Linked DNA regions of Drosophila melanogaster. The protein of the gene in region 2 interacts with the protein of the main gene of each other region in a pairwise test. Each region holds a gene or a part of one and is shown on either strand. Other genes may lie near its edges.

Evidence for each region. Proteins that work in one complex are often made in the same cells at the same time.
Region 1: the proteins of ltl (region 2) and CG10081 interact in a two-hybrid assay, tested with the Drosophila melanogaster proteins (one large-scale study listed by BioGRID).

The regions. Positions count from the first base shown.
Region 1 is NT_033778.4:19,384,048-19,389,889, forward strand, and holds CG10081 (uncharacterized protein), read left to right. Parts: upstream 1-1,875; 5' UTR 1,876-1,920; coding exon 1,921-1,941; intron 1,942-2,042; coding exon 2,043-2,737; intron 2,738-2,799; coding exon 2,800-2,884; intron 2,885-2,951; coding exon 2,952-3,072; intron 3,073-3,132; coding exon 3,133-3,287; intron 3,288-3,349; coding exon 3,350-3,733; intron 3,734-3,791; coding exon 3,792-4,087; intron 4,088-4,149; coding exon 4,150-4,219; intron 4,220-4,278; coding exon 4,279-4,425; intron 4,426-4,494; coding exon 4,495-4,986; intron 4,987-5,044; coding exon 5,045-5,206; 3' UTR 5,207-5,271; downstream 5,272-5,842. Other genes in the region: CG10073 (uncharacterized protein), read left to right, coding at 1-78, 136-621, 684-845.
Region 2 is NT_037436.4:7,516,914-7,522,130, reverse strand, and holds the start of ltl (larval translucida), read right to left. Parts: upstream 3,135-5,217; 5' UTR 2,447-3,134; coding exon 2,154-2,446; intron 1-2,153.

The sequences.
Region 1 (5,842 bases), on a different chromosome or scaffold from region 2:
ACCATTTACACGGCTAGCTCCACCCAAATTGGTTTTCCATACCGTCCAAAGACCAACGTTCAGCGACTTCCCTACCTGGTTGGTAAACCTAACTACTTTTAAAGATCAAATAATGAAGTTATTTTCGTTTCACAGCATGTACGACGAATCTTCTACGAATACGATGGCACAGTTGTGAAGAATGACTCCGGCTATCTGTTCAACTTCCAGGATCGTCGGGGACCAGCACCCCTGAAACTGTCCAAGTTGAATACGACTGGATTGGTCAGCATTGCTGCGGACTGTGATACGGTTATGATGTGCGGATTTCCTCTATATGATCACCGATGGGTTAAGAATCGTCTGCAGATAATGTGGCTGCCAAGAGAAGAGGAAATCATTACGCCATATGAGCCGAAACTTGAGCTATTGTCCAAAACGGAACTGGGAAACAATACACTGCGCATGAATTTCCAATCAGCGACTACGGATCATGCCAGTGTGTTTATCCAGCCACTTGAAGATGTTATCATTTCCAACTGGAGCCTGCCCACGAGTTACATTGGCCAGCAGGATACCTCCCATATGTACTTCTCATATGGCAAGAACAACACGGCATTGACTTTCTTTATTGACTTTTATGTGAGTGTCAGATGAATGCACATGCGAAATACTTTGAAATAATCTTTGCTTATTATTCATAGAAACTGGATGCCGACTTTGCCGTACCCTTGTGTCAGATCGGATTGGCTGTCCATTTTATTGGCAACAAAGGCGATGCAATCAGTCAGGAGTTTGCCAAGAAGATACCATCATTTGCCGCTGCAGTGGATTGGCCAGCTTCCTACCAACGTTACATTTTCTAAGGACTTCGATCTCGATCGCGAAAATAATTATTTTAAACACAAGTCGAACAATAAAATGAACTGCTAAACATTGAATAATAACTTTAGTATCTTTAAATCTTATATACGGGTGGTCTACATGTGAAATTCAGATTTATTATTCATAAATTAAGCTTACGAGCAAGATCAATTTCTAGATCCCTAAAGCCGGCTTATATATATGTGTATGGAGTTCAGATATTCTCAAAGCCATCTTTTTATGTACCATATTTTCCATTTTCGACATTGTTGAACTTAATTGAAATTGAAATATTGCAAAAACTAGTTCTTATACACGTTTTCTTATCAGCCGTGAAACACAAAAAACGTTACATATTAATTTTAAGGATATTTTAAGACAGTGATATAATGCAAATTTTACAGCTTAAATATATAGCATAAAGAATATGTATTTTACTACCAAACGCGTGTTCCATATAAAAATTTATGAACCCATAAAATAAGTGTTGATAATTGATTGATACCAGCAATTAAGTGAATCGATTTCTTTTGGTAACAACTTAAGGTGCGTTGCCCTGGTCCTGAGTACAAACCATATCTAATCACCAAGATCTGTGTGAGAAATCGAAATTCGCTTAAGTTGCCAGATAGTCATATCTTTTAATGGTTATTATGCACATTAAAATCCGTAGACTATTCAAGAGCAATTTCAATTTTCAAAAAAGAGGTGGGTTTGAAAAATAAGTAAGACATGATGATTTGGCTTTGAATCAATAAAATGAAATACGAAGGAAATATTTTAAAAAGACAAGCCAAGTTAATCGACTAGCTAAAAATTGTAAAAATTCTTTGGAAAAGGAATAAATTAACCATACAATTTAACTCTATTATAGGTTTTATGGGTTTTATTACTTAAAAAGTATTGATTCTACTTTAGCGACTCTCGCAATGCTTATATTTTGTGTTTATTTGTGCTATAAAATTTCAAGATATGATTACGAAGTTTTGATAATTTTTTGGGATATAAAAGCGTTTAGCATAGAAATCAAGTCAGTCTAGTTTTGACTCCCATATTAAAGGTCTGCAAATCGACAAAATGGGTGACAAGGAAAAACTTGTAAGTATACAATTAGCTTCCGAATTATATATATTTCTATACTATTATCTCTAAATAATTAAGTAGCTAAGTAAGTAACTTTGGACTGATTTTTTGCTTAGATTTTAGACGATCATGTCGAAGAAGGAGTCAAATCATACTCCAGGAAACATGGAAGAAAACACAGAGTGTACTTTCAACTACCCTGGTACTTTGCTGGAGGCATTGTCCTGTTCTGGGCACTGCTCTTCATTGCCGTGGTTAAACCACTTTTTTACCGACTTCCCGAACCGCTGACTGTCGAGGATGCCTCCAAAGGAGGATTCATTGCCGAAAGGGCACAGGCCAATCTCTATGATTTCGAGGCTATCGGCACTAAAGTGGTTGGAAGTGATGAAAACGAGCACAAGACCGTACAGTTCCTGCTAAAGGAATTAAATCTGATAAAGGATAATATTCAAGAGGATCTATTTGATATGGAAATTGATTTGCAGTATGCCTACGGTGCGTATGTAAAATGGAATCTGGTCAACATGTACCAAGGCATTCAGAACGTGGTGGTTAAGCTCACGCCCAAGGGCACCACAAGTGAAAACTACATCCTGGTGAACAGCCACTTCGACTCTCAGCCAACTAGTCCCTCCACCGGGGACGATGGTCACATGGTGGTCTCCATATTGGAGGTGCTTCGAGTGATTTCATCGAGGAGAAAATCATTCGAGCATCCCATTATCTTTTTGATCAACGGATCCGAGGAAAATTCGCTGCAGGCATCTCACGGATTCATTGCCTACCACAAATGGGCTAAGAATTGCAAGTAAGTTCAAGGAGCAATAAGATATAATGTTTATAGAACTTATAAAAAATATTTCCTACAAGGGCGGTCATTAATCTGGATGCAGCTGGCAGTGGTGGTCGCGAACTAATGTTCCAATCTGGCCCAAATAATCCATGGTTGGTTAAGGTAATAAATCCTCTAGTTACTTAAGAAACTATCTATATATCTAGCTGTTTCATGTGATATCTTGCAGATATATAAGGATGGCGCCAAGCATTATTTCTCCACCACCATGGCTGAGGAAATCTTCCAAACGGGACTTGTTCCATCTTACACTGATTTCGATATTTTCGTTGAATACGGAAACCTTATTGGTAAGCTAAGCTAATTACTAATTTTTCGGTTGTATATAACTAGGTAAACTTAAATGCTAGGTCTGGACATTGGCCAGTGCATCAATGGATTCGTCTATCATACCAAGTATGATCGCATCGATGTGATTCCACGGGCAGCTCTGCAGAACACAGGAGACAATCTTCTCGGTTTGGTTCAAACTCTGTCCAATGCCAGCGAACTGCGCGATCTCAGCGTAGGTGCCAGTGTTTTATGTAAAATAACTCTTGGTTAATTATGTAATTCTTCTGAAAACAGGCGAATCCGACTGGCAACACCATCTTTTTCGATGTCCTGGGATTGTATCTGATCAGCTATTCCGCCGATGTCGGTGTAAAGCTAAATTATGCCGTGGCTGCCGCAGCAATAATCCTGATCTATATCTCCTTGCTTCGCATAGCGGAAAAATCAAGTGTCAGCTCCGAACAGATCCTGAGCACCTTCATCTTAGTTCTTGTGGTCCAGCTGATCGCCTTTGTCTTGGCATTGGCCCTGCCCCTTTTGGTGGCCTATGGCCTGGACAAATACGGCTTATCGCTTAGCTACTTCGCCACTCCATCGCTCCTGATTGGATTGTACATATGTCCCAGTCTTCTGGGCCTTACTCTGCCCAGCTATATCTATCTGAAGTTGGCGAATACCGTAAGTTCATGGTATGGTTCATGATACTTTGGGATAGTAATGTTGCATATCTAAATAGGAGAAGGTATCCTTTGCCCAACAAGTTCAACTGGCACTCCATGGACACGCCGCAGTGCTTTCCATCCTCTGCATTGCCATCAATTATTATGGATTGCGCACCACCTATGTCATTACATGGACGCTGGCATTCTACGTAATACCATTGGCCTTCAATCTTCTTACCACACTGCATGATCGTGGCTATTCCTGGACAGGTATATTGAAGATTGTCCAGGTTGCTCCGTTCATGTATAACAGCTACCTCTTCTACTGTTTCATTGTGATACTCACGCCAATGATGGGTCGTTTTGGAGTGTAAGTAAAAAGAAATGGTTCATAGATCAAATCTCTAGACACTTTTTTGTATGACATTTTAGGGACACCAATCCTGACTTGATCATTGGAGCTTTAACTGCCCTGGGAACCATATTGTCCATGGGATTTTTGGTAAGAATATTTACTGCTTAAGTTTTTTAAGTAAACATAAAGTATCAAACTATCCCTAGATTTTACTGGTCAATATGTCCCGCCGATCCGGATTCGTTCTCATCGGTCTATTGGCCGTAACTGCCGCCGGTGTATACATTGCCAGCTCCACCGACATTGGATTCCCCTACCGCCCCAAAACCAACGTACAGCGTGTGCCCTACCTGGTTAGTTATAAACCTTTATGTCTGCATAAAGATACTGATAACTATTACTTACAACATGATCGTTTTCAGCAAGTGCGCCGCATTTTCTACGAGTATGATGGAACAGTGAGCAAGGATGAGAGTGGATATCTGTTCAACTTACAGGATCGTCGCGGACTTACTCCGTTGCTGGAGTCCAATGTGGATCTCACTGGTCTGGTCAACATGACATCCGATTGTGCCAAGTACATGATGTGCGGCATGCCGCTGTACGATCACCGATGGGTGGAGGCTATGGAAACTACCATGTGGCTGCCGCGAAAGAATCCCGTTTGGACACCAGCTGAACCGATTCTAAAGCAACTTAACAAAACTGTTCTGGCGGATGGCCAGACTGTTCAATTCGAGTTTGAACTAACGACCTCGGATCACACCAGCATTTTCATTTCTCCCAACGAGGATGTGATCATCTCCAATTGGTCGTTCCTCAAGGAATACCTAACAACCAATTCACCTCCGTACCACATCTACTACTCCTTTGGTATCGATAATACTCCACTGCGCTTCCACATCGAGCTTAAGGTATGCGAGTATCACATTATCTATTAATTCTATATTTCATTTGTATTTATTTCAACAGAAAGCCGATGGCGTCTACACTGTCCCACTTTTCCAGATGGGAATCGGGGCGCACTACATGCACGTGAAAGGCGATGATGAGTCCATCAGGCTTGCCAATTCCCTGCCCGACTATGCTGTCAGTATTCAGTGGCCAGCTATGTATAAGAAGTACATATTTTAATTATATTCAATAATTAAATGAAACTCATGAAATCGTTTCTTGTATATATTAATAAAAATGTGTTGAAAAAACCCCTTTTCTCAACTCTGATTATATATTAGATACATACATAAATATTAATCAGCATTAATTTAAGTCTCACCTATGCTTTGTGCTCACACACATGAAGAAATTAAAGTGGGTGGTTCCCAATTTTTAAGTGCCATAAAAACATTTAGTTAGTTCATCAAGAATTATAGCACCTCATAAACGGCCTTTAACGCCACTCAGGCGGTTAGCCATATAATCAGTAACAGCAATTTGGTTGCGGTGGGTCTGAAATCATAAAGATTCCTTATCGGTTTCAAAAAAAAAAAGGCGTGAGAAACTGTCGCAGATATAGGTATCAATTAAATTTGTTAATGCACTATGATCCAACGTCGATGGTTTAATTAGTTTCAATTATTTCAATTTAAATTTAAAAGCATAAAAAAGCGTTAAAATAAATTAAATTAAAATAAATTTAAAATTTCTTGTTATAAATATTTAGGTAATATTTCATTTATGGAAAATTCAACGACAAATTTTAAAGAGTAATATTGCTTGTTGTTCAAGTGGAAAGCTAATGCTTCAGTAAATCCATCATCTTATTAAAAA
Region 2 (5,217 bases):
CTGATTAATAGAAATGGCTTTATAATTATAATAATAATTATTTTTACCCTTGAAGTATTTAAAATGCATAACTTGTATACCCAATATTAAAAATGTTTCTTGTCAGAAAGATAAGCCCGCCCAATTTCTCGCAGTGCATACGAATACACACATGTGTGCTGGCGATACTTTTCCTGGCTGGCTGGCATGATTTGGTCAAAGCACGATATTAAGGCAATAGGTCAATTGTTATAAATTGACATCAATGTAAAAAGCGTTCCCCGAGCAGCCAGAATCGAAGGCATTGCCACCAGAGGCACGCGCTCTCCGCTGGATTCTCGATGCTGGATGTTGGATGCTTGGTAGCTGGATTCTGGGGGAGATCGCCGATTGGGGAGATGGTGCATAACACTGATTCGATCAAGTCGGCTAATTAAATCATGCCGACTTCCATGCAAACACGCAAATTGCATTCGGAGAATGATAAATCGAATAGTTTAATCGTGGGGGTAGTCGCCGGGCAATTGCCATGATTTCAGAAAACTGATTCAAGGAATGGATTTTCCCAGAACTAAAAGGTCGCCATCGGTTGATTGGTGGAGCTTTCGCACTTTGTTACTCCAAATACTTTCGATGATTTGTGCTATATTACTAAAACGTGTTCCCGAATGTACGCCTAAACCCAGTTTCATCCCACACAGTCGCTATTAAATTTTTAATAGATTCCCAAAAACAATAAAGATAAGCGTTTTTTTTTTTTTTTTTGGAATATAAACATGAATGAGTCTAGTACTATGGATTGTAACAAAGAGATATTTCAATTCGGCTAACACAAAGATACAGTTGAATGAAGCTATTGATAAATTAAACAAACGCTTGTCCTTGTGATTGAATTCAGTTTTCGAAAACATTTTTTTTGGGGCTTTGGGCACAAAGAATCCCCTGAGTCATATTTTGTTTTGAATCGCGAATGTAAAATCGTGGCTGTAAAACAACGGAGTCAAATATCAATGAACCCGCGACAGGCGCTTATGAAATAGGCTCGAATGTTATTTCTATATTCGCAAGTGCAGATCAGTGGATCGACAGCATTTATTTATATGCATTAATTATAATTGTCAATATGTGTACATATAAAACACAATGCGACAGTGAATTGAAATTCATTGAGAGTCAGAGTCGGAAAACGTGCAGGCGCCGTTGAAAAGACGCCTTCAACAAACTGCAATTATCAATTTTGTGTACGCATTAAGTATACGTCGTATACCTCCAGTCAGCCATACGGCTAAGTACATAGGCGGAATCCTATATAAATACTTCGTAGGTGATAAGCGTTATCAGTTATCAATTGAACAAGAAGAAGATGTAGTAGAAGAAGAAGACGACGAGACTCAAGCTACGGCAGCACATCCCATAGTTGGGAATTAGCGGCAATTCAATGCTACTTCCTAATTGAAAAATTAAATCATCTGGGCGGCAATTAAGATGCGACTGCACCATCTCCAACCACATCCATCCATCTCCTTCGCAATTTGCCCAATTGAGCCATAGATAATGAGGCGGCACTGGGCTCTTTGACGTAAACAAACGACATTGTTATTGTTTTAGTATCTATGTAGTATGTATATGGCTGTAAACAAGATCTGGCCACCCGAACCGATCTGTGGAGCACATTTTTTCGTGCATTTACATAAGCGTATTGAAATTTGTGTACATTTTGCATTATTATTTTTCTCTCGGTTTTTATTGGGTTTAAGGAACCTAAATTGATAGCCGGCCGAGCGGAAAATTCTGCCTTTCTGCGGAACTTGGCTGTTGGCCTTGAACTCCCCGCCACAGTAAAGAAATTTTGATTGAATCTATAGCAGGAAAATTTCCCCAATACATCATTATACCTCGATCTACACAAATTGGCACACGCTACCAACGATATATCTGTACTGTACTTACATAAATGTATGCTATATGAAAAGGAGTGTTCCTCTTGTGAGCAATATATGGAATCTATCTATACTTGGCAAATGTAAAGTAGCGACTTTTTAGTCAGTTTCTAAAAATCTAGTGATTCAGCAAAGGAATTTGTATAGAATCTACACCACAGCTGGGAAACCCCTTATAGAGCTATTTGGCTCCTGCTCTCCAAAATTGCAAACCGAATCGATGACTCAACTCACTTTAGACTGTTCCACTGCATCCGTAGCTTGTACAAGTTGAAGTTCATATCCGTAAACGAGCGCATTTCCAGGTCGTCGAGTTGCGAGTGCGTGATCTTTAGGTCGATATTGGTGTCGGCATTGAGCTTATTGGCCAGGCTGTCCACGACGGCGTTGAAGGATTCCAACTTCTCGCAGGAGAGCTCCACATGATTCCAGGCTTTGCCCGTTTCGCAGGTGCAGGGCGAGATCTCCGGACGCACGGAACATTGCAGCGAGGCCAGGTGAAAGACGGTGTACACGAGGGAAGTCATTTTCGTAGAGTGATCTCAGTCACTCGGTGAATGCGATTTCACAATTCTTTGGCCAGAGCAATAATATATTTGTATATGTACACTTTTTCGCTATCTACGATATCTCAGTTCACAGTTCGGTTCACAGTTCACAAATCACGGTTTTCCGGCTCGAGACCAGGACACGTTGCATTCGCTCGGACGGCGGATTATCAACTGTTCGAGCAGGCAGCTCGGAAAACACGAAAGACTCGGGAAATTACCCACTAGGCGCACATATGCGTGCGTGCGGGGGTTTCCATGGCAGCTCGGTTTTCCAGCAGGATTTCGTTGATTCTCTGAACCGCTGGCATCGGATTTCAAAGCCGCACTGTCACTACTTTTGAAAGATCTTTCAAATAACACACGCGCACCGCACTTAAGGTTAAGTTCGGTCGATCGATCGATCGTATCGATCGTATCGAATCTTAACGGCTGGGATATGGAGAACTGGAGCTAGAGCTGGAGCTGCTACTCCTCCGCCTCCTCCTATCTGCTAGACCTTCTGACCCGCTTGTATATAGATCGCCGATGCTCGGAATTAATCTTCTAAAAAATTTTGTATTTGCCTGTTTGTTTGTCGAACACCGCGAGTATATCTCTATTGTATTTTTTTTTATTGATGGGCTGCTGATCACGTCTAGATTGCAGGGCGGTCTCTTTGCGACTGGGAGTGGAAATGCTAACGTTGAGGATTCGTATGTGCTGCTGCTAGCTGCTGCTGCTGCTGCTGCTGCTGCTGCCTACTGCTGTTGCTGCTGCCGGCAGCGCTGTTGCTGCTGCGGTGCGATATGTATTGCTGCTGCTGCTGCTGGTTTTACTCTCTCTCCGATCTCTTGGCGCTCCGGCGAGATGCTCGAGCGGCTTTTTGGCCAATTGGGGACTTGAGATGCGGCTATAATTGTCCACGACACTCAATTACATGTTCTGTCGGCGCCAGGCATCAATCTCCATCTATATCTGCAACTCAATCCCGATCGCGATGTGCGATGTGTTTGTGCCCCCATCGAGTGCTGATGTTTGTTGCTACTTGCTACATGCTACTTGCTTGCCCATGTTGCCGCTGGGATCTTCTTCGGAACCCAGTTCTATGTATGGGGCATCATTATATTATCGTGGACACATGTTGGTACTTACATATGTGCTGCTCTTGCTCTACGCACTCCCATCAAATTGTCCTTTTACATAGACACACATCTGGCACTCGCCTCGCTCGCTCTCAAGCTATGTTTTTAATTATGACTTTTTGGATCGTATCATATCGGAACGTATCGTATCTGATAGGATCGTTGGCAGTGTTTGAATGGAACCGGCTTGTTTAAGGATCTGCGCAGCCCAATTGAGATTGGGCCAAGTGAAAATTTTCCACTGGCGCCAGAGCGATTCCAAAACTCTGGCGGGGATGGGATCAGGCAGCAGGCAGCAGGCGACAGAGAGCAGGGAGCCGGGAGCAGGAGCCATGCATCAAAGTCCGCTGCCTTAATTTATCTCCAAGTTCTGGGACCGCATGCATAATTAAACACTGGGCGCCTTAAATGCGCTCGCCACAAATTCCGCAAATTCCACGGATTGCGCGTGCCAACGATGTCTCCTCCTCCTCGTCGTCGTCGTGGTCGTCGTCTGCAGTTCTGGCTGCAATTAATCATCGGGATCATCGGGGGGCGGCCACTGGCTGAGTGACTTCTGATGCCCAGCCAACACATCCATCTCCATTTTCCATGCAGACTGCAAGCTCCCGAGGAACCTTGGCACGATTATGTTATGTTTAGGGCCGTCGGAGAGATTAACTTAATTACATACAGCCGGGCTCACTCATTTAGAGGGATTTAAAAAATTAAATCTTATGACCGGCTTTTATTCGATCAATCCAATAATGTTTCAATTAATAATATTCCTCTCGTAATTGAACTACTTCCTGTTTTAGATCTGTTAATAAATGGGATAAACTCTTCTTTTATGAACATATTTTCCGAATTCCACAGTTTTTCCTATCAAATAATGTCCATATCTCTGGAAGGTTTTTTTAAATAAACTGTTTATAGTTTTCAAATTGTCATGATTCTTATGAATATATCTAACATAAATTTATTAGAACGCACGCAGAATAATTTTCTAAGAATTGCAGATAGTTATTTAAATTATGATCTAAACTGGCAGCTTGGAATAAACTAAAATGTTAAACTCTTTAGCACAGCAACTGCCGAGCTTAGCAGATGCCAATTGTGGTGTTACAGTGCTGAACCGCACTGTAATCAATAACTGTAGGTACGAAAATATACCTCGATTACGTAGCCAATCTATTTTTGGCGCCCAATCATCTCGAGTAAATATTTAAAGAAAAGCGGCAAATATTTATAATTATTATTTATTCATATGTTTTCTTTTCTTTACGGCTTCTTGGTATTTCTTTTTGTTTTTATTTTATTTTTTTTGCACATAAATATTCTCAACATTTTTATGTGACACATTTTCGTGTTTCGATTGCAGGCGACAACAATAACAAGAGTAGCGTAGGCTTCGGACTTCGATGACGATGAAATGGGATGGTGCGGGTTGCTGGTACGATGGGATGGTGTGGATATGCCTCCGGTAATGCTTCTGCTGAAGGCTTATCCACTTGAATAGATCTGCACATTCCGGATTGGTCGTCATCGGCCGTCCAGCAATCATGTGCCATCGGCTCACGTCAATGGCGATTTGGCGCCGGCCAAAATACTTGGCTGGAATTCGGAATTTGGCTGTCGTCACGGGTC